4 linked regions of the Saccharomyces cerevisiae S288C genome follow. Changing the gene in region 1 together with any one later gene gives a genetic interaction. Each region holds a gene or a part of one and is shown in the gene's direction. Other genes may lie near its edges. The genes, in order: GIM3, CTF19, ELP6 and VPS71.

Region 1 (4,476 bases):
GAAATATCGCATCCAGGGAATTGGCGAAGAAGCAGTTGGCTGCCCAAGTGGAAAAGGACAAACGAGACAAAGAGGAAAAGAGATCAAAAGACCTGATCGACAAGCCAGATGATGCTGCAACAGCAGAAACAACTTCTTTCGGTTGGGGTAAGAAAACTAGAAGAAGAGTTAAAAGACAACAGGAGTTGTTTGAAAACGCTTTGGAAGAGGCTAAGAGAAGAAACCAAGGGTTGGACCCAGATAGTGATGCTGATATTGAGGAACTACTGGAAGAATAGGCTCTCTGTGTATGTATGGGTTCCTCTTTGTCATTGTGACATTGTTTTGTTTTTAGTTTTTCTATAGTTTTCTGATAAAATAGTCTAACCATTACCGATGTTGCTACTTGCATCATTCTCAACGTCTAATCAACTTGCGTTTGCGTCTCAAATTGAGTTTGTAGGTTACGTGTCGCCTTAATAGTCAGCAAATGCCGACGTTTGTGAGACGGATAACGACTGCGATGATTCCCATTCCGCATGAATGATGCAATTCACAATTCAAACACGATATCAAACGACTAAGCCGTGAATTAACGGCTAGAATGCAAAAGAAAATGGGTAAGAATTGATTTATGTAGATACGGCAAGACGATACTTTCCTTAAACAGCCGAGAAACGAAAAGGTTTAAAGAGATGTACTGTGACGTAGAAGAGAAAGGATTACGCAGCAATGGCTTGTCCAAATTTCGTAGTCTAGCCAATTGAAAATATAAATTATTTTCAATACTAATGGGCGGCTTTCGAACAAATGTCACATTGCAGAGGTGATCGTTCAAAGTAATTAGCAGTCATGAACGAGATCTTCTTTTCTCTTATGAAGAAAAAGGCTGATGGTCGACAAGAAAAATCTCAATACAATGGCTACCATTCCACAAAGAAGTGCCTCGCTAGGTGTAACTCAATGAACTGAAATTGCTTTCGTCAGTGGTTTCAACTCTTGTGCGGCCGCATGAAAAATGAAGAGAAATTTGAAAAAATCTCAAAGAAGAAAATAGTTTCCTCATCGCAGCAACCTATAGAAAACAACACGACAGAAAGATATTGTAACTTGATAGTACCGAGCATATATACCCCGAACAAACATGAGTTCTTATAGGGGCGGCAGTAGAGGTGGCGGGAGCAACTATATGAGCAATCTACCCTTCGGATTAGGTTATGGAGATGTAGGCAAAAATCATATTACGGAATTTCCATCCATCCCATTGCCCATCAATGGTCCTATAACAAATAAGGAAAGATCTTTAGCAGTAAAGTACATCAATTTTGGAAAGACTGTTAAAGATGGCCCATTTTATACCGGATCAATGAGCTTGATAATAGATCAACAGGAAAACAGCAAGAGCGGTAAACGCAAACCCAACATAATCCTAGACGAAGACGATACTAATGATGGCATTGAAAGATATTCCGATAAATATTTGAAAAAAAGGAAAATAGGTATTTCTATTGATGATCATCCGTATAATTTGAACCTCTTTCCCAATGAATTGTACAATGTAATGGGGATCAACAAGAAAAAATTATTGGCAATCTCCAAGTTTAATAATGCCGATGATGTTTTTACTGGTACAGGTTTACAAGATGAAAACATCGGACTATCCATGCTGGCAAAGTTAAAGGAGTTGGCAGAAGATGTGGATGATGCGTCGACGGGTGATGGGGCAGCAAAAGGAAGTAAAACAGGCGAAGGAGAAGATGATGATTTGGCGGATGATGATTTCGAAGAAGATGAAGACGAAGAAGATGATGATGATTATAATGCTGAAAAGTATTTCAACAATGGTGACGATGATGATTACGGTGATGAAGAGGATCCAAATGAAGAGGCCGCCTTTTAGTTGAAAATTTATACCGCTTTACCATATTTTTGGATATTCTTCAAAGCAGAATTTGTACAATTAGCATTTTTCTTTATGGTTTAGATCGGCGGTGAGGGCGCAACAGATTTATGTATACATATTGAAATAATAAAATTTAAAAAAGAAAAAATCTTGGTAAACATTAAAAATCTTAATTCTATTTAAATATTAGTATTACAATAACAGCATGTTTCTCTTGTCATTAGCTGAGCCTTGGAGGTGGTCTTTTTCTTGTAGGAGACATCGAATTCTTCCTCGAATTAAAATTGGAATTCGAAGTAGTCGGTAGAGGTGGTAGTTTTGGAGAATTCAGGCCTGATGGATGAGGATGTGAGTTAGGCGAAGAGGAATCTAGGCGTGAGGGTCTATCTCTTCTTACTAACGGCGTATTGCGCGAACTTGAATAATTGGACATATCATCTCTGGTCGGTATAGGAGGTAAGGGCGGTTGGTTATAGTTGTGGGAGACTCTATGGCTGGAAGAATAAAATGCGTCATTTTCGTCGTCATCGTCATCATCTTCGTCGTAAGACAACGAAGTTACACCAATAGCCTTTTGAAGTGCCTCAATATCTACCTTGTTAGATTCATTTTGGCAGTTGTTTGTTGAACTATCAGGATTCTTAAATATATTTATCTTCTCCTTTAATTTCCTTAAATTGGCAAAATGGAATTTTGTATTCGAAGTGTTTGATATAGCAGTATCATTAGTTTCTAATGTAGACGTTGTACCCATGGATGCTGAAAAAGTTGGAGGTAAAATTATTGGGTCATTACTATTTGCCAATACCGCTGTATCTGATTTAGATGACATGGAGAAAACATTGCCATTTCTGTAGGGCTGTCCCTCATCCTTATCCTCGTGACTTGTGCTAACACACTGGGGAGTAATCTGTCTCATCGTAGAACCATGAACATAGTCATACTCTGATTCTGTTGGCAATGGTGGTATCGGCCTCATAGCCATAGATGAATCCAACCTGTCCATTTCTTTGTTAAGATCGTCCCTGTTTAAACGAGGTACTTTGGGAGTGAAAGTCAACTCAATGAATATAGTGCCAGCAAATTCATCCCCACTTCTTTTCAGTTCGTACCAGGTACAATAACCCTCCTTCGGGTCTGCTCTAATAGCATTTAAAAGGTCTATTTCACATCTTCCAATTGGCAGCGGAGATTTTTTCCTTCTATCGCAGTAAACTTCGACGTACATTAAAGGCTTTATCTCTGGAGTAATATCAAATTTTTCTAAATAATGGAAAACAGGGTTTTGACCTGCTCGATGTAGAGTGTTGCTGGCTCTTGTCATATGAGCTATTCGCAACCTAAGCATTACATTTTGCTTGTCCAGTTTATTCAAATTAGGCAAGTCTCTAGCTTTGCTCACATATACGGAGAGGATTCCTTGGTTTCCATTCCATACTTCTTCGGACATTCGACAGTGACTCAACGAGTTAACCCAATTCCAGTTGTGAAACCTAAGGTCTCCGAATTCTCTCGTACTATTAACATACCTTTCTATGTTTTTATCTAAATCATATGAGGAACGCTAGGCCGTCATTCATGATCAGCAGAGGCGGCTTTTCATACAATTTTACAGGAAGCTAAGTACTTAGAGGACTTATGCTCTGTTTGGTCCTGCGGAAACTACCAGAATACACAACGCCAAGAAACTAACAGAGGACCATTATGGAACTGTTACCACAGGGACAAAGGAACAACACTCAGGTAACGTTCGAAGATCAGCAAAAGATCAACGAGTTTTCGAAGTTGATTATGCGTAAGGACGCCATTGCGCAGGAATTGAGTTTACAGAGGGAGGAGAAGGAGTACCTCGATGATGTGTCTCTAGAAATTGAATTGATTGACGAAGATGAGCCCGTGCAATACAAGGTGGGCGACCTCTTTATCTTCATGAAACAGAGCAAAGTTACCGCACAGCTCGAAAAAGACGCAGAACGTCTCGACAACAAAATAGAGACTTTAGAGGACAAGCAAAGAGACATTGATTCCCGTCTTGATGCTCTGAAGGCGATCCTGTATGCTAAATTTGGTGATAATATCAACCTTGAACGTTAGAACACTCATTAAAGTGTGGGCTGTGGGTGTCTCCACAAAATGAGTAATGAAAAATTTTTAATTTTTTCAGGAGGGAAATTAAAGAAAAGTAAAGAACATGATAATAAAAAGCAAGTTTAAGTTATTGTGTATGAGATAGAGTTTTTTTTGTATACCTTTGTAATCCGCATATATTCCTAAGTACCTTTTTTTTCAGACAGAAAAAAAGAGTTTCTTTACGGAAATTACTTCTTTCGTTTGATATTGTTTTTCTCTTTCGAGATTTAAGAACGTGGTTGTGTTTCGTGTTTCTGTGCAGATCATATTAGAAAGTTTTTTTCTCCATTTTGATAGACAAAACTTGTTGTTTCTACTGAACACAGCATATAAGCCAAGAAAATAGTTTTCCAAAAATGTCTCAAGTGCAAAGTCCTTTGACAGCAACGAACTCTGGTTTAGCTGTCAATAATAACACAATGAACTCACAAATGCCTAACCGTAGCAATGTTAGATTGGTCAAT
Region 2 (5,346 bases), on another chromosome or scaffold:
CACTTCTACCTTTAATAAGAGTTAATCTTTTTAAGTAGGTTCTATAAGCCCATACTCCGCAAAACAAAGTCAAAAAGAAATATACATAGGCCAACAGATCAGCTAGTTGTGGAAATTCGGCTTTTTGCACTGAATTATAGATAGAAAAGGTCAATACACTCAGCAATGTGGTTACACTTAACCATCTATTGAATGTACGTTCATTGGCGAGCCAAACTTTTGCCTCAACTTTGACAGGACCGGCATTTTTCAAAAGGTGAACTGGTTTTTTAACTCCCGGAGGTAATTGGAAAGAAGAGGCACTGTCTGTATCGTCGGAGTATGGATCATTTCCATTTTCTGAAATATTTTTTCCAGCAAGAATTTTCAAGAAAGCTGCATTCGTTTTGAATTTCTTCCCTTTTTTGACTGCAGATTTCTTGGGCAATGCAGTACCTTCTTCATCTGATGATTCGTGATCTTCTAAATCTGCAATAACGTGGCGAGTATTCTGATCTTTTTGCCCTTGTCTTTCAGTGGTCTTTCCATCTGGTACAGAGATTTTGGATAACCTTCTCATATTATCAAGTTTATCATGAATGCTCTTTTGTTTTTGTAAAGTTTTCTTCTCTTCTTCGTAAGCCTCCTGAGGGTTCTTTCTGATGTCGGTTTCTAAATCGGGCAACCAGAATGGCAAAATGTTGACATATTTATCGTCTTCACCAAACAGTGAAGCCACACCTTGCAAGTACAAAGAAAATTTTGGAACTTCGTTAACTAAATGTGAATTAGTTAAATCTTTAATCCACTCATAATTAGGCATTTGAGAATTATCTTGGTTTATAACCTTAATCTCCATTACAGAATAGGGGAACTTCGAATATTCTCCTGCTCTTAAAAACCTCAATGGGTTGGGAATATTGGAATCAATATCGTCACGGTGCCAATTCTCAGGGTTCCTAATGGGCCTATTTTTGTCCAAAGAATCCTCTCTAATGTACATGATATTGGAATCGATAGTGACTCTAATACTTTGATCTCCAGGAATTTGGAAAGCAGTTCTATTATAGGTAGCTCTCAAAACTGGCTGCAACTTCTCCTCAACAATAAAGTTTTGGATGTTATCAAAGTCTCTAGAAAGTTTTTCCAGTTCCTCCTTTTGAGTACCCCTTTCTCTTAGTTGATTAATTAAATAGTTTTTGTAACTGGGATCATTTTTAAAAATAAAATTGTTGATGAATTTGGCTTTCATTTGCAATCTGATTTCTTCAAAACTTGAATTACCAGTTTCGGTATTTTCTGTAAAAGTTCTCTTTTCCAAAAATATGTCAGGTTTGTCTAGCAGTTTACCGATCCATCTTAATCTCAGCGTAGGTGCACCGCTGATTTTCAACAATCTGTTATTGTACAAATCAAAAAAATCGTTGTCGAAATATAATGTAGTGATTGTTGGATCATATGACTGTGGGAAAATAACGCTCTTTGATTTTCCAATTTCAACATCTTGGTTGCTATTACCATCACTAGAAAGGCTGTTACTCTTTGAACCAATATTCAAGCGCGCTTCAGGTTGTACGCGGACATCTGATTCTAGATTATCGACGAAATCGTCATTTTCATTTGGAACCGACGCATAAACCAAAGCAGGTAGATGCCTTAAGATTCTAGCCTTAACCTCCATTATATTATCATCATGAACCCAAAACTTGTAGCTTTTAAAACTTGCGTCTTCAAGGTTAGAAAAATGTGATAATTTAGAAGTACTTGCTAATGATTTAGACACCGTATTTGGATGATCATAATTTGATCTCAAGAACTCGTACAGATATGAGATCCTATACAACAAGGGAGAATACTCTTCTGAATTGTTGAAAGGAAGTTCTTTCAATCTGACTTGTAAAAGAGACTTTACAGAAGGATAGTTTGGATGTAATTTATCGTGTTTCTTCACAATCTTGATAAACCCAGTAAAATTTAACCTGTCAAAGTTATCCAATCTTTGAGCCTCATCTAGACATTCTTCTAAGGTGTTTTTGAACTGCTCAGAATTTATTTTTTGGATTTTTTCAGCTGATTTAGTGTTTTCCTCTAAATCATCTAATTTTCGCAAGACAGCATTATATTTGGAAATTTGAAATGTGTAAACCTTTTCTAGTTCTTTATCCAAGGCCTCCACAAAATCAGATTCATTCCTTTCGGACCAACTATCCACGGAACTACGGCCATCATGTATGACGCTTTCCTTTAGTAATTTCTTCAACCTTTCATAGTCGATATATGAATCCTTCCAGGGAGGATATACGTCGTTAGCCAGTTTAATACCAAATAGCATTTTCAAACTCTGAAAACCAAGGACAAATTCTGCTGTTCGCTCTAATAGCCAAATGACCTATAGTGATAATAAAAAAAGCGCTAAGGAGGTACTACTTGGATTAGATCACTCTTATGCGTATTATTACCCGCCAATGGGCCCTCTCGATATTGAGAAGATGAAGTAAGTTCGAGAAAAGATGTCTGATGTAAGCCGCTCTCTGGCCTCTATTTAAAAGTTCTTCCTGGATGAAACCCACTCGAAAGTTGGGTGTGTGCGTGTGTGTATGTTTCCACGTTTCTGCCTTGTGCTTTCAAAATCGCATGCACGTGCTTGCGACTGCACTGTGTTGTATTAAGCCACGTGGGCCCTCGCACATTGAAAAAAAGAAAAGCTGTACAGGGAAAAATGTGCCAAGAAGTCCAAATACCAATAGCTGTGCAAGTTACTCATTAACATCCAAACCGTGAAGGTCACGGCATATATACTCTGGCGTTCTACTATGTGGCCGGTAATGTAACCGGTAATGGTGACTATCTAATAGTTGGAGTCCGCCGAAAAATCAGAAACGCGTAATTTAGACTTATATAAACAGCTATATACCTTGGAGCTAGTGTGATCTTGTTGATACTAGGTCGGCAAAGAACGCAAATATGGATTTTACGTCTGATACGACGAATTCGCACGACACATCGAATTCGCATTTAAGTCTGGAAGACGCTGTGGGTACACATCATGCTGGTGAAGCAGATGTAAACATTGATGGGGACGAGAAGCAACAACTATCGCTATTAGATGATGATCAGGTACGCGCACTGAAGCTACAGGAGGAGAAGGATGCGCTGTTGACAAGGAGAAATACTCTTTTACAAGAGATCCAGACGTACCAAAATATCTTGATGAAGGAAAATAACAGTAAGACTAAAAATGGTGATATCCTCCAAAACGATATCACACAGGATTTTCTTAATCTAATCTCGATCTCATCCTCTAATCCTAATTCGGCGATAAGTGACCGCAAGCGGGTCGAGAGGATCAATGGGCTAACTAACTTGCAGAAGGAACTAGTAACAAAATACGACACGTTACCTTTGTTAAATATGAATCTACGGCTAAGTTATTTGAGAGACCACACATACCCGCATCTTCAAGTTTCTGTGCAATCAAGAGACAGAGTACATAACGATGGGATTGAAGTTTTGGTGGTCAATTATAAATTCTGCAGAAACACGATGAATCCTTTTGAAATTCAGTTCAAAATGTTCTATAAATTTGAAGATTCCACACTGCTGAAGTGGGAAATCTTGCGAATTTCCACAAACGTTAGACTGAAGGCCAAGCAATTACTGGCAACACGTAACTTCCAGAAGTGTCTATTAAGCCTTTATGAGTTTGATAAGATCAAGTCCAAAAAAACTGGAATTTTCCAAAATTTGATTAATTTATTGAAAAGGAAAACCAGGTGTTATCTAATGAATAATAGTGACTCATTAATTGTGGAAAGAGTTATTAGAGAAGGAAGACTCACGACGATAAAATTGCAGATAAATTTCATCATTACAATGCCCGGTGAGAGAGGCAAACCTCGTAACTGTTTTCTGCCCATGAGTAAAATTTCAATAGCGCTATGGAAGGGGGGAGAAAGATTTAACCAGATAGATTTGGACGAGATATGCTACGGACTTATCAAGGAATATGGTGTGAAAACCGGGTTAAAGGAGATCTGCAACGTTTGCCTATTCCCGGACATGTACGCCAGGTGATGTTCCATTTGCCATTGCCAACTGGACGGCTTGCTTAAACGATTCCGATAAGCTCGGATGAGGGAACGGTACTTTACAGACATCATGGGCGGTAAGGCCAAGCGACACCGCCATCGATGCTTGCGACAGCAATTCATTTGCATCGTCGTTTATCATATGAACGCCTAGTATTTTCATGTCACGAGAATCTATCAGAACTTTAATGAAAGGAGAAACTGTAGTATTCTCTTCCCGTGGTAATAACGTGTTATATCTAACGTTCTGTGAGAACAAAACCCTGCCTTTTTGATATGGGATGCGAGCCTTTGCCAACCCCTCCTCAGTGTATCCGACCCAGCCAATCTGAGGCTGACAGTACAGCACATTTGGTGGGAAGCCACAATTCGAGGTTCCGTCGGAGCCTGTACAGCCTATTGATTGAATGGCCCTTATAGCTTGTTCTTCCGCTTTCAGCGCCAGCATGGGGCCCAATGTAACGTCTCCTATGGGTTTAATATGAGGGTACTTTAGCAGACTTTGGGTTTGTACGTCAACATTTTCTACAAAATCCCGTTCGTCTAGACCAATGCTGGAAATATCTAAACCTTTTAGCAGGGGACGTCTACCAATAGAAACCATCAAGACGTCGCAATGATGTACATATGTTTTCTTTGACACCTTGTTAAGCAAGGTGATGTTCAGCTGACCGGCAGCATCGGCTTCCGCGAGCTGCACTCTAGTGTCTAAAAGAAAAGCTATACCCTGACACTGCAAGAGGGTCTTCGTGGCAGAAGCCAACTCATTGTCCATATTTTGACAGATCTCGCTTTGAGATTCAACGATAGTAACCCGAGAGCCCAAATTATTGAATATGCATGCGATTTCTAGTCCAATTGTACCTCCTCCCATGATAGTAAAACGTGAAGGTATATAATCCAGTGACAATGCCTTATCAGATGAAATTATCTTGTCATTATCTATTGCAACACCAGGACACTGAATAACCGCAGATCCGGTCGCCACAACAATATATTTCGCCTCTACGATGAACGGTTTCATGCCGCGCTGCGCAATCTCAACGTGGTGAGGATCTTTGAAAGCAGCCGTGCCTTTATACACAGTAACATTATTTTTAGATAGCTCACGTTTATACACATTGCCCAACTCTTCTATATTATGTTTGAGTGCACTCTGGGCCGCCTGCATATCGAATTTTGCAGGAAACAGCCGCGTGCCACGTTGCTCGATAAGTTCTTGCTGTTGTAGCAGCCGATAAAGATAAGACTCATATAACAAGGTCTTGGACGGGACTGC
Region 3 (4,858 bases), on another chromosome or scaffold:
AGTAGTTGTGAAACAGAGTACTCTCACTTGCCGATCACAGCTCATCGATGGGAAATTTTTCATGTATAAAATAAAGCTTGTTAAAAAATCAGTTCGTTTCGCGTGATAACAAACAGTGCATATTTATGTACCAAGAATCCAAAAAATAAGATATATTTAGTATAGGTAAACGTTATGGAGGTGTCATGTTTCATGGTTCTTTTGTCGTACTATCATCTTCGTCTTCGTCTTCGTCCTTTAGCGCTTCACGGGACTTTTTGTTGAAAATTGCCCTTACGTCGTAATGCTTCTTTCTCATTTCTTCAAATTTCTTATGTCTAGCCTCCGGTGAGTCTTCATCATTCTCGTCGTTGGTCTCAAAATCCGGTTGTTTGTTCTCTTTGATTTCAAATTCCGGTTCGCCCAGGGACAAATCGTCGATGTCATCGTTTGCCACCTGGCATGGTTTTTTATCACTATTATCCTCATCTTCATCATCATCTACTCTGTAGTATTCCCCGTGAGGGTCCACAGCACCTTGGTAGGGGGTCTTGGGCTCGTCTATGTGAATATCTTGGAACTGCTTTTTTGTTATTTCATTTTCTGCTAAATTTCTTTGGTTCCATTGAACTCGCTCTTCTGGTGTCATCTTGGCCAACATGTCTTGCTCATGTTTCAGTGACAGTGTGTCCTTTGGAAGGAAGGTACTCGATGTTCCAATTATCTCCCCCTCCTCTTTTGTATTATCTAGTCCCGGTATATTCCTTTTATGTGATGTCAATTTGGCATTTTTCTGCGTATTTTCGTAAACTTGTCTTCTAAACTCTTCAAGCGTTTCTGGATCCTGTTGCGCCAGCTGCTCCGGCGATAAGGCTAGCGGGTTTTTAAGTATACCTCCCATTATTCTGCTGATGTGCGTTCTTGATGATACGAACTCGTTGTACTGATGAAGCTCTTGGACTTTAAGTTGTAGTGGTGTTCTCAAATTATCCTTTCGGTGGAAGTCATTTCTCCCTAAAAAAGCGTGAGGGCAAAACTTGAAACCGGGTAAGAATATGCGATAGTACCGTTTTGCCTCTAAAGACAGTGCTTCAGAGAAATATTAGCAAGGTGTCGAATCAAGTTATACTAGATAGGAGGATTTCATAATGAATAATGCTTTAAAATGGTTCTCACCTTTATTTTATCATTTTCTTCTTTTCTTCTGCTATTGATTTGGTAGTGTTCGGGTTAATTCATTTTTTTGTTCAATAACAAGAACCAAACATAAAAAAAAATACTTTAAGAATAAACAAGACTGATGAAGCATAGATCATATTATTAGAGCGCGTAAGGTATGTAGAGCACAGATTGGTCCTTCGAGTGTGATTATATAATTTTATATACGCTCCTTAATTTAAAAGCGGCTTAGATAGATTTTTTATACTTTGCTGTTGGAAAATTCCTGCTGAAGCAAAAGAATTTGCAATTCGTTCTTAGCCTTTAACCCCAATTTTAAGGCTGAAGCCGTGGCTTATATCATGGGCTTTGTTTATCCAACTTTTCACATCTATAGTACGCTATCTTTGCATCTCTTAGGCATGAATTGATAGGCGATGAGCAGAATGAAAAATGAAAAAAAAATAAAAGTACTAAATTGAGGCTAGTAGAAGTTAGGCAAAAACCGTCCAGAACCTCCACAAAAATAACTAAATACACATTTATGGGTAGTGTTCAACGACAAGATTTGGTCCTATTCAGCGACCAATCAGTGCTTCCTGCCCACTTTTTCCAAGACAGCAACTCTCATAACTTATTCTTCATCACCCATCAATCCTGTACTCAACCACTATGGATGATAAACGCACTAGTAGAAACGCACGTGTTAGGTTCCCCAAGTTCCCTTAATGAATCTTCTTCATCGATGCTACCTTCGTCAACTCGCTCCCATGCAGTCCTTGCGTCGTTTATCCACGAACAGAACTATTTTACAAATTCATTAAACAAGCTAAAGATCCCATCTAATAACTACAATGTTTTAGACTTCCTGTCCGACTTCATCGTTAATAATATCCATAATAAGCCAAGAGACAAAATACTAAGTGACGTACTCGCAAAGTTCTCCGCTGCTATACAAAATAACCCAACTGACACCATTGTTATCATCGAACAACCAGAATTACTGTTGTCGCTAGTAAGCGGCCTAACTTGTTCAGAATTAAACAATAAGTTCATCACACCTCTTTTGAGGCAATGCAAAGTGCTAATCATTGTTTCCAATTCGGACATATTTAATATAGATGAATACGATGCTTCTGTTCATTCCTCGAATCTGCAAAATTTCTACAAATCTTCCTTTATCAAATCAATGATTAATTTGAACTTGAATCCTCTGAAGACCGGTTTTGCAAAGGACGTAACCGGCTCATTGCACGTTTGCAGGGGCGGCGCACCCATTGCAACTTCAAACACAAGCCTACACGTCGTTGAAAATGAATACCTATATCTGAATGAGAAGGAGTCAACAAAACTATTTTATCGCTAAATAATGATAAGATTATATACGAGGCACATTGATTCTCGTATTATTGTTTTTTCTATGAACTGAATATATTTTTAAGTACAATATCAATGAAAAATATATGCAATCGAGCTCTATCAATAAAAAAAATAAGACAGAAAAAAGTGGAAACGATACTACCTACTCCGTCTTGCTCTTATTATGTCGTCTAATTTAAATTCGACTGCACATCTTGTCTTAATTAAAGCTAGTGCGGGCCATGTACTTCGTTCACCAGATTTTATCCAGTATGGAATGTTGTTTAGTTGACCTTCAATAATCCTTGTTAATGATAGACTTTTCATCCTTGGTACCACAGCAATCTCCGTAGCTGATCTGGGAGTCTTTTCATCAATTATTAGTCTTTTTATTAATGAGCACAACAGGCCTAAATTATCCAATACCTCCATCCTATGTCGAAATTCCATAGTGGCAATATTTTTTAATTTTCTTTCCAGATGATACTTAAATTTAAACGCCAGCGGTTCCATTTCAGTAAAGTTCAACTGCGGTATGCCCAATTCTGGGATTATGTACTCTGCTGAATCGTTGACTGCCGAACTTGGGGGCACAGGGCTCATTAAAGGCTCTGGCTCAAGATCCTCGACAGTTCCTGCCTTTATGGGTGATTGCGAAGAGGATCTCTGTGTTTTTCTTACTGTATTCGCGTTTATAGGAGGCATATTTGGATAATGCTTATAATAGTAATATTTTGACGTTTTTATTTCATGCTTCAAATCATTTACCACCAATGGTGCCAAGTATGGTCTCGCCAAAGAAACAATGAAGTTATTAACATTGAATAGTTCCGTTAACCTAGTATAGGGGCTCTCCGTTATGCTCGGATTGTTGGCATTTTCTGGGGTAAGAAATTTGACTTGTTTATTTTTATTGATGTTAAGAAAAGGCTCAATTTCATTTTCTAAATTTTTACATAATAGTGATGTATCCTCTGAAATTACACCAGAACCAAGTGAGCATTCAATGGCTGACTTGATTAATACGTTTGGGGTTGTCACATAATTTAGTAAATTAGGGCATGATTTATCAGTTGGATGAATAACAATATTGAAAACTTTTCCAGTAATTTGATAAACTTCTTCAAAAGTTTTTTCCTTAACAATATATTTCATAACAAACCGGATAAAAAGATAAACGTCTTGAGAATAACCGTGGTGTATTAGGTTCTGAATCAAAGTCCCCAGGTTTAGGTGCTGCTCTAAATTACCGTATCCACAGCTTTTTAATAAATCTACATCATTCTTGATGATATTCAAGAGGTTGTCATCGGTCAATAATTGCTTTAGTTGCTCATTGGACAAGCAACCGAATAAACTTGCAACGCATGCCCCCATAGAGCTACCACTTATAATATTAGGCATCAGGTCCTGTAACAATAAACCTCTAATCACCCCAAGGTGAAACAGCCCAAACAATGAACCACCTTGCAAGATTAATGCTGTTGTGCCCAGTGACAACTTACATCTTTGGAAAAAGGATGTTGGAGTTAAAGTTTGATTATTTAATATATCCAAGCCTTCTAGAATTCGGGTCAAATATTGTTCAATAAGTAGCTTTGTACCCATCAAAGATTTTGTGAACAACTTTTTATCTCCAATACCCGCAAAGTTCCTCAACATACAAGGGCCTGTAGTCGAAAACTTCTCCTTAACTACATCATACTTCTCCTCCCTTAACATATTTTCCAATATGCTATATTGTTCAATGACAGAATTGAAGTCGTACCTCCTCGAAAAGAAATTCCGCCGCCATAAATTTGCGCCTGTTATTTCATCCACTACGGACGCTTGCTGACACCACATTTGATACGTATCACACTCATCTAACTTCTTAATAGCGTTATAATAAATGACTCTTGAGTGTGGCCGCACATAGTTAATCAGCTTTTGAACCCAGAAGAAATAAATATCGGTGATGACATGTAGAATTTCCCACACAAAAGGAGGTATATGGTCCAATGTGGCATACACTACACGCAGTATCCAGTTTTTCAAAAGGGTCGGTATTACAGCAGACACCTTGTATTCCTGCGCCGTTTCCTTCATGCTTAACGGCAACTCAAAGATGTGATATATGAATAGATGATTCCCTTACTATTGTGTCATAGTACTTCTCTATGTAATCAGTACTAATTTCTATTAGCTGCTACCCAGAAAAAAAAAAACATAAGAAAAAAAGGGTTAGGGTTGAATTTTCAGACCTAGGATAAGTATCTCCGAAATTACTAAAAACCTAGTATTTATTAAAATGCCCTACTAAAAAAGTAAAAATGACCTATAAAGAACATACCCTATTATAGAGTGGCAAAATTAAAAATTC
Region 4 (5,137 bases), on another chromosome or scaffold:
GAATCTTCAGTATGAGTTGACGGAGGTGTGGAATCGGTTGGACTCACAGCTTTTGAAAGGACATTTCTCGGTTGCTCAGGATGTAGTTCGATGTCAGATTGGAAGTCATGGTCAGATTCTATGTTAAGATCATCGGATTGTTGGATCTCATTTGACGCAATGAACGATTGATATGAAGCAGTTAAACGGTTTAAGTCTTCATCGAAAGTGAGTGCGTCGTAATTGAATTGATCTAATCTGGATTCCTTGCCCTGAAGAATAACATAGTTAGTTGTATCTACTGTCTTCTTTAAGGATGGAAGATAGATGATATATCCATAAGAGTTTCGAGACGGATGTAGAGCGTAGCCTGGGATGCCACGAGGATGTATTTTGGAGTTAGGGTTGTGATCATTGACGATAACAGGTTGACCGAAAGGTAACAAAGTACTGATATCAAGTCCTGCCAAGCCAGCATGTTGTCTTGCAGATTTTTTGCTTTTAGGTGAAGCTAGTGAATTTCTCACAATAGTAGAAAATTCGATTGCAGAGAACCATAAATGGTTCGGTAAACCACTACATTGCAGTTGAGTACGGCAGTCATCTAATAAGGTACGGTTGAGCCGTTCAGCGACTCCATGTGCTCGGGAATCCGCTGTGGTTGTATAGCATGGAGTTATACCATTTTTTTCAAGGAATTTATGGAGAGTTCTGTTAGTATACTCAGAACCACGGTCCATTTGTATAACCAAGACACTGGCCTGAAACTGGTTCTTAATAAAAGCTAGTATCGTAGTAAAAACATCGAGGATAGAGTCCTCGCGACGGTCGTGTAATGGATAAACCCAACGGAATTTTGTTGTCTCATCAGTAAATGAGATGAAATAGGATGGTGCACTTTTTGGTAGGTTGTGAACTGGACCAAATATGTCAGTATGTAGGTATTGAAAGGGTTCGTATGAATTTTGGTATTTTAGTCGTGAACCTTTGATATGTCTGTGTTTGGTGCTTTTGCCGATTAAACAATCAGGACATTGATAGTCAATAGCACTAGACCTGTCGACATCTGATTCGTTAAAATACGTGATGGTGTTATTTTTAAGTGAGTATCGAATTGTCTGTGCATTGGCATGTGCAAGCATTCGATGAATGAAAGGATAAGGATATTTGCGTGTACTTTCACTTGTATGGACATTATTGATGGTGGGTACGGAGATATTTGATGGAAGCAAGTACTTTTTAGATACCCAGTAAAAGTCTCCATATTTTACGATAGGTGCAAGTACAGTGCCGTCAGATCGTTCTAAGACGTTTTTGGTAAAGCATGCTGTGATATCTACTGCAGCCAATTCATTCAAACTGAGTAAGTCATAGGCTATGTTAGGAGTGTGCAATACCTTTATTGATGTTTTGGTGTTGTCCTGGAAGTGAAATTGTAGGTCACCAATAGCGTTAATTGGTATATTTCTTTTTTGAGCATCAACTACGTTTATGTCAGGATTAGATGATGCTGAGTGTATGTGATGAGCAGATCTTATAAGGGTTCGTGATGCTCCTGAATCGAGAAGGAGGTGTCCAGGGAGTTCATCATCAGAATGATTAGTGTGATTTACCGTAGATTCAGTAAGTTCCTGGCCTAAGGTGAAGGTCGTGCTTATTGTTCAATTGAATCGGTTCAGTAGTTGATTTACTGATGGAATCGTTGTCCGTGCTGGGAGAGTTATTAGATGTGGATACATTGTGAGCCCTGGCTGTTTTCGATTTCGAATTATTTGTTTTTTGAGGATTCCGAGCTATAACTTTGGGTTTGGTTGTATTCGTATAGCTGCGAGAATCATTCTTCTCATCACTCAGATTTCTCCTGTAATTAGGTTTGCTGTTTCTCGATCCCTGTTGTTCTTCATAAATAGCATGGATATCTAAGAACAGTTCAGCGACTGTCATATTTAGATGTCGATGACGTGTGTAGCGTAAAAATTTATATTCGCCAGATAGACCTCTCATAATTAATTGGCATGCGACCTTGTTATTGATATGAATGCCATTATTGTTCAGTCTGTCGATAATGTTTGTGACTTTTGTTTCAAATGCATCTGCAGGTGTACTGCCATTATATTGCAAATTTGCCAGGGTCACAATGTCGTTTGCCTCTTGGGTATCAGATTGCATTTTTTCAATACTTTTGGAAAGAATTTTCATGATATCCGTATAATCAACGGATAGGATGTCTTTGACCCAGGTAGGTAGGAATTGAGAGGGAGCAAATATTTGAAAAGTGTTATACAAGAAGGTGAGTTCATCATCAGTGATCTGACGTACGGGTTTTCCGTTTACTGTCGGAATAATACCACCGAGATTCGAGTTTTGTAAAAATTTGATGTATGTTTTAACCCAATTTGGAAAGTCATTAGGTGAGGTTAACATTGGTGGTGGTCTGACATATTTTTTAGTGGATGTCATATCAGAGTCCGCTGAGGATGAATCAGTAAATGTATTACCTGACTCAGGTGATGGAGTGCTCAGAGGCGTTCCAACTGATGATGGATACTGCGGAAACTGTGATTGTGGCCCAGGTGGAAAGTACATAGGCGACATTTGATAAGGTGTATACGGAATCATAGATGGGTGTCCGTAAAATGACCAACCAGATGGATTGGCTTGGTTTTGGGTCATCATGCACTGCTGTGGGTACGGCCCATTCTGTGGAGGTGGTACTGAAGCAGGTTGAGGAGAGGCATGATGGGGGTTCTCTGGAACAGCTGATGAAGCAGGTGTTGTTGTCTGTTGAGAGTTAGCCTTAGTGGAAGCCTTCTCACATTCTTCTGTTTTGGAAGCTGAAACGTCTAACGGATCTTGATTTGTGTGGACTTCCTTAGAAGTAACCGAAGCACAGGCGCTACCATGAGAAATATGTGAATGTTGAGATAATTGTTGGGATTCCATTGTTGATAAAGGCTATAATATTAGGTATACAGAATATACTAGAAGTTCTCCTCGAGGATATAGGAATCCTCAAAATGGAATCTATATTTCTACATACTAATATTACGATTATTCCTCATTCCGTTTTATATGTTTATATTCATTGATCCTATTACATTATCAATCCTTGCGTTTCAGCTTCCACTAATTTAGATGACTATTTCTCATCATTTGCGTCATCTTCTAACACCGTATATGATAATATACTAGTAATGTAAATACTAGTTAGTAGATGATAGTTGATTTCTATTCCAACAACTAGTAACACGAATACTACTAAACAAATGATATTTTAGAGTTCCATTTCAACATTATGCACTCAATATTCATTATTGTTGTTAAGGGCTTAATATTGTAGTTGTCAGAAAACTTTTACTATTCGGTGATTCCTTAGTGGCTAAGATTCACAAGTTCACAAGGGCGTGTGGTCTAGTGGTATGATTCTCGCTTTGGGCGACTTCCTGATTAAACAGGAAGACAAAGCATGCGAGAGGCCCTGGGTTCAATTCCCAGCTCGCCCCTTTTTTTGATATTTTTTTTGGAGTATTACAAAAACGACCATTCATTAAGGAAGTGAAGTCGGTGGAATAGCTAGAGAGCTTATATTTATTTAGTCGTTGCTTTATGTAACGAAGCAATCAATAAAATATTTGTGTTCTGTAGAAATAACTTTGATCCGGGTAATAGATAATTAATAACTACTTTTTTTATAATGAACATGATGATCTTTGTGAGTATTAACAAAAGTCGAAGCGGCCCTTTCAATCTATAGTAACGTCGATATCATTGATAGATCGAAGAAAAAGAACGGATCGCTTACTCATAACAGCGAAATGAAGGCGCTAGTTGAAGAGATTGATAAGAAAACTTACAATCCTGACATATATTTCACGTCATTGGATCCTCAAGCACGTCGATATACTTCAAAGAAGATTAATAAGCAAGGCACAATATCCACCTCTAGGCCCGTAAAGCGCATAAACTACTCACTGGCAGATTTAGAGGCCAGGTTATATACTTCGAGATCTGAGGGAGATGGCAATAGTATAAGCAGACAGGATGACCGAAATAGTAAGAATTCCCATTCATTTGAAGAAAGGTACACACAACAAGAGATTCTCCAGTCGGACAGGAGGTTTATGGAACTTAACACAGAAAATTTCTCGGATTTACCAAATGTACCGACTTTATTAAGTGATCTCACAGGCGTACCACGAGATAGAATTGAATCAACAACCAAACCGATCTCACAGACCTCGGATGGTCTCTCTGCATTAATGGGTGGTTCTTCTTTTGTAAAAGAGCATTCCAAGTATGGTCATGGTTGGGTGCTTAAACCAGAAACCTTACGGGAAATACAATTATCGTATAAATCTACAAAACTACCTAAACCAAAGAGGAAGAATACCAATCGTATTGTGGCGTTAAAGAAGGTTTTAAGTTCAAAAAGAAATTTACATTCGTTTTTAGATTCTGCGCTGCTAAACTTGATGGATAAGAATGTCATTTACCACAATGTTTACAATAAACGATACTTCAAAGTGTTACCCCTAATTACGACATGCTCTATTTGCGGTGGCTACGATAGTATTTCAAGTTGCGTTAATTGTGGAAATAAGATTTGTTCTGTAAGTTGTTTTAAATTGCATAATGAAACTAGGTGCAGAAATAGATAGTAATGATCAGTATGTATTCGTAAGCCCTTTTTTCTCCCCTATTTATACGTATGTAAGTGTAGATACTTAACAAAAATATTCACAAATTAATTGAAGAGGAAAGGTGAAAAATTCATAACTTTGCTTTTCGTTTATTCTCATTTTCCAAGGCGTCAAAAATTTCATCAGCAGCTTGAGATAAATAATAGTGTAATCTGTTAACACTGGCTCCACTCTTGGCTGGTTTGTTGACAATATTGATATGCAGCCACTCGTTATTCAACATGTATGCCAGTCCAAACCCGTTGTCATTTACTTGAGACCAACCATAACCGTCAAAATATTCCGAAGATAGTTGAGATGTGGAGATCAACCAAGTTGAAGAATAATTAAATAAGGGATCTTTGAAAAGGGGCGGAATTTGGTCATCATTAGATTTTAGCATATTCTTTAGACCGAAGAAATGACGATCGACACCATTACCATTTGCAGCATTTTTCAGGTACGTAGAATGCTCTTTT

Evidence for each region.
Region 2: mutations in GIM3 (region 1) and CTF19 together harm fitness more than expected from each alone (negative genetic interaction), as found in Saccharomyces cerevisiae (5 studies listed by BioGRID, with this or other methods).
Region 3: mutations in GIM3 (region 1) and ELP6 together harm fitness more than expected from each alone (negative genetic interaction), as found in Saccharomyces cerevisiae (5 studies listed by BioGRID, with this or other methods).
Region 4: mutations in GIM3 (region 1) and VPS71 together harm fitness more than expected from each alone (negative genetic interaction), as found in Saccharomyces cerevisiae (8 studies listed by BioGRID, with this or other methods).

The regions. Positions count from the first base shown.
Region 1 is NC_001146.8:345,169-349,644, reverse strand, and holds GIM3 (tubulin-binding prefolding complex subunit GIM3), read left to right. Parts: upstream 1-3,586; coding exon 3,587-3,976; downstream 3,977-4,476. Other genes in the region: PGA2 (Pga2p), read left to right, coding at 1-278; RPC31 (DNA-directed RNA polymerase III subunit C31), read left to right, coding at 1,124-1,879; INN1 (Inn1p), read right to left, coding at 2,103-3,332; serine/threonine protein kinase YCK2, read left to right, coding at 4,369-4,476. UniProt on the Saccharomyces cerevisiae protein: Binds specifically to cytosolic chaperonin (c-CPN) and transfers target proteins to it. Binds to nascent polypeptide chain and promotes folding in an environment in which there are many competing pathways for nonnative proteins.
Region 2 is NC_001148.4:514,708-520,053, forward strand, and holds CTF19 (Ctf19p), read left to right. Parts: upstream 1-2,943; coding exon 2,944-4,053; downstream 4,054-5,346. Other genes in the region: VTC3 (vacuolar transporter chaperone), read right to left, coding at 1-2,311; IRC15 (Irc15p), read right to left, coding at 4,027-5,346. UniProt on the Saccharomyces cerevisiae protein: Component of the kinetochore, a multiprotein complex that assembles on centromeric DNA and attaches chromosomes to spindle microtubules, mediating chromosome segregation and sister chromatid segregation during meiosis and mitosis.
Region 3 is NC_001145.3:896,724-901,581, forward strand, and holds ELP6 (Elongator subunit ELP6), read left to right. Parts: upstream 1-1,681; coding exon 1,682-2,503; downstream 2,504-4,858. Other genes in the region: PP1-complex regulatory subunit GLC8, read right to left, coding at 191-880; TGL3 (bifunctional triglyceride lipase/lysophosphatidylethanolamine acyltransferase), read right to left, coding at 2,656-4,584. UniProt on the Saccharomyces cerevisiae protein: Component of the elongator complex which is required for multiple tRNA modifications, including mcm5U (5-methoxycarbonylmethyl uridine), mcm5s2U (5-methoxycarbonylmethyl-2-thiouridine), and ncm5U (5-carbamoylmethyl uridine).
Region 4 is NC_001145.3:194,413-199,549, reverse strand, and holds VPS71 (Vps71p), read left to right. Parts: upstream 1-3,794; coding exon 3,795-4,637; downstream 4,638-5,137. Other genes in the region: YML040W (gag protein), read right to left, coding at 1,600-2,922; carnitine O-acetyltransferase CAT2, read right to left, coding at 4,750-5,137. UniProt on the Saccharomyces cerevisiae protein: Participates in the catalytic exchange of histone H2A for the H2A variant HZT1, an euchromatin-specific factor, leading to chromatin remodeling and changes in transcription of targeted genes. Indirectly involved in vacuolar protein sorting.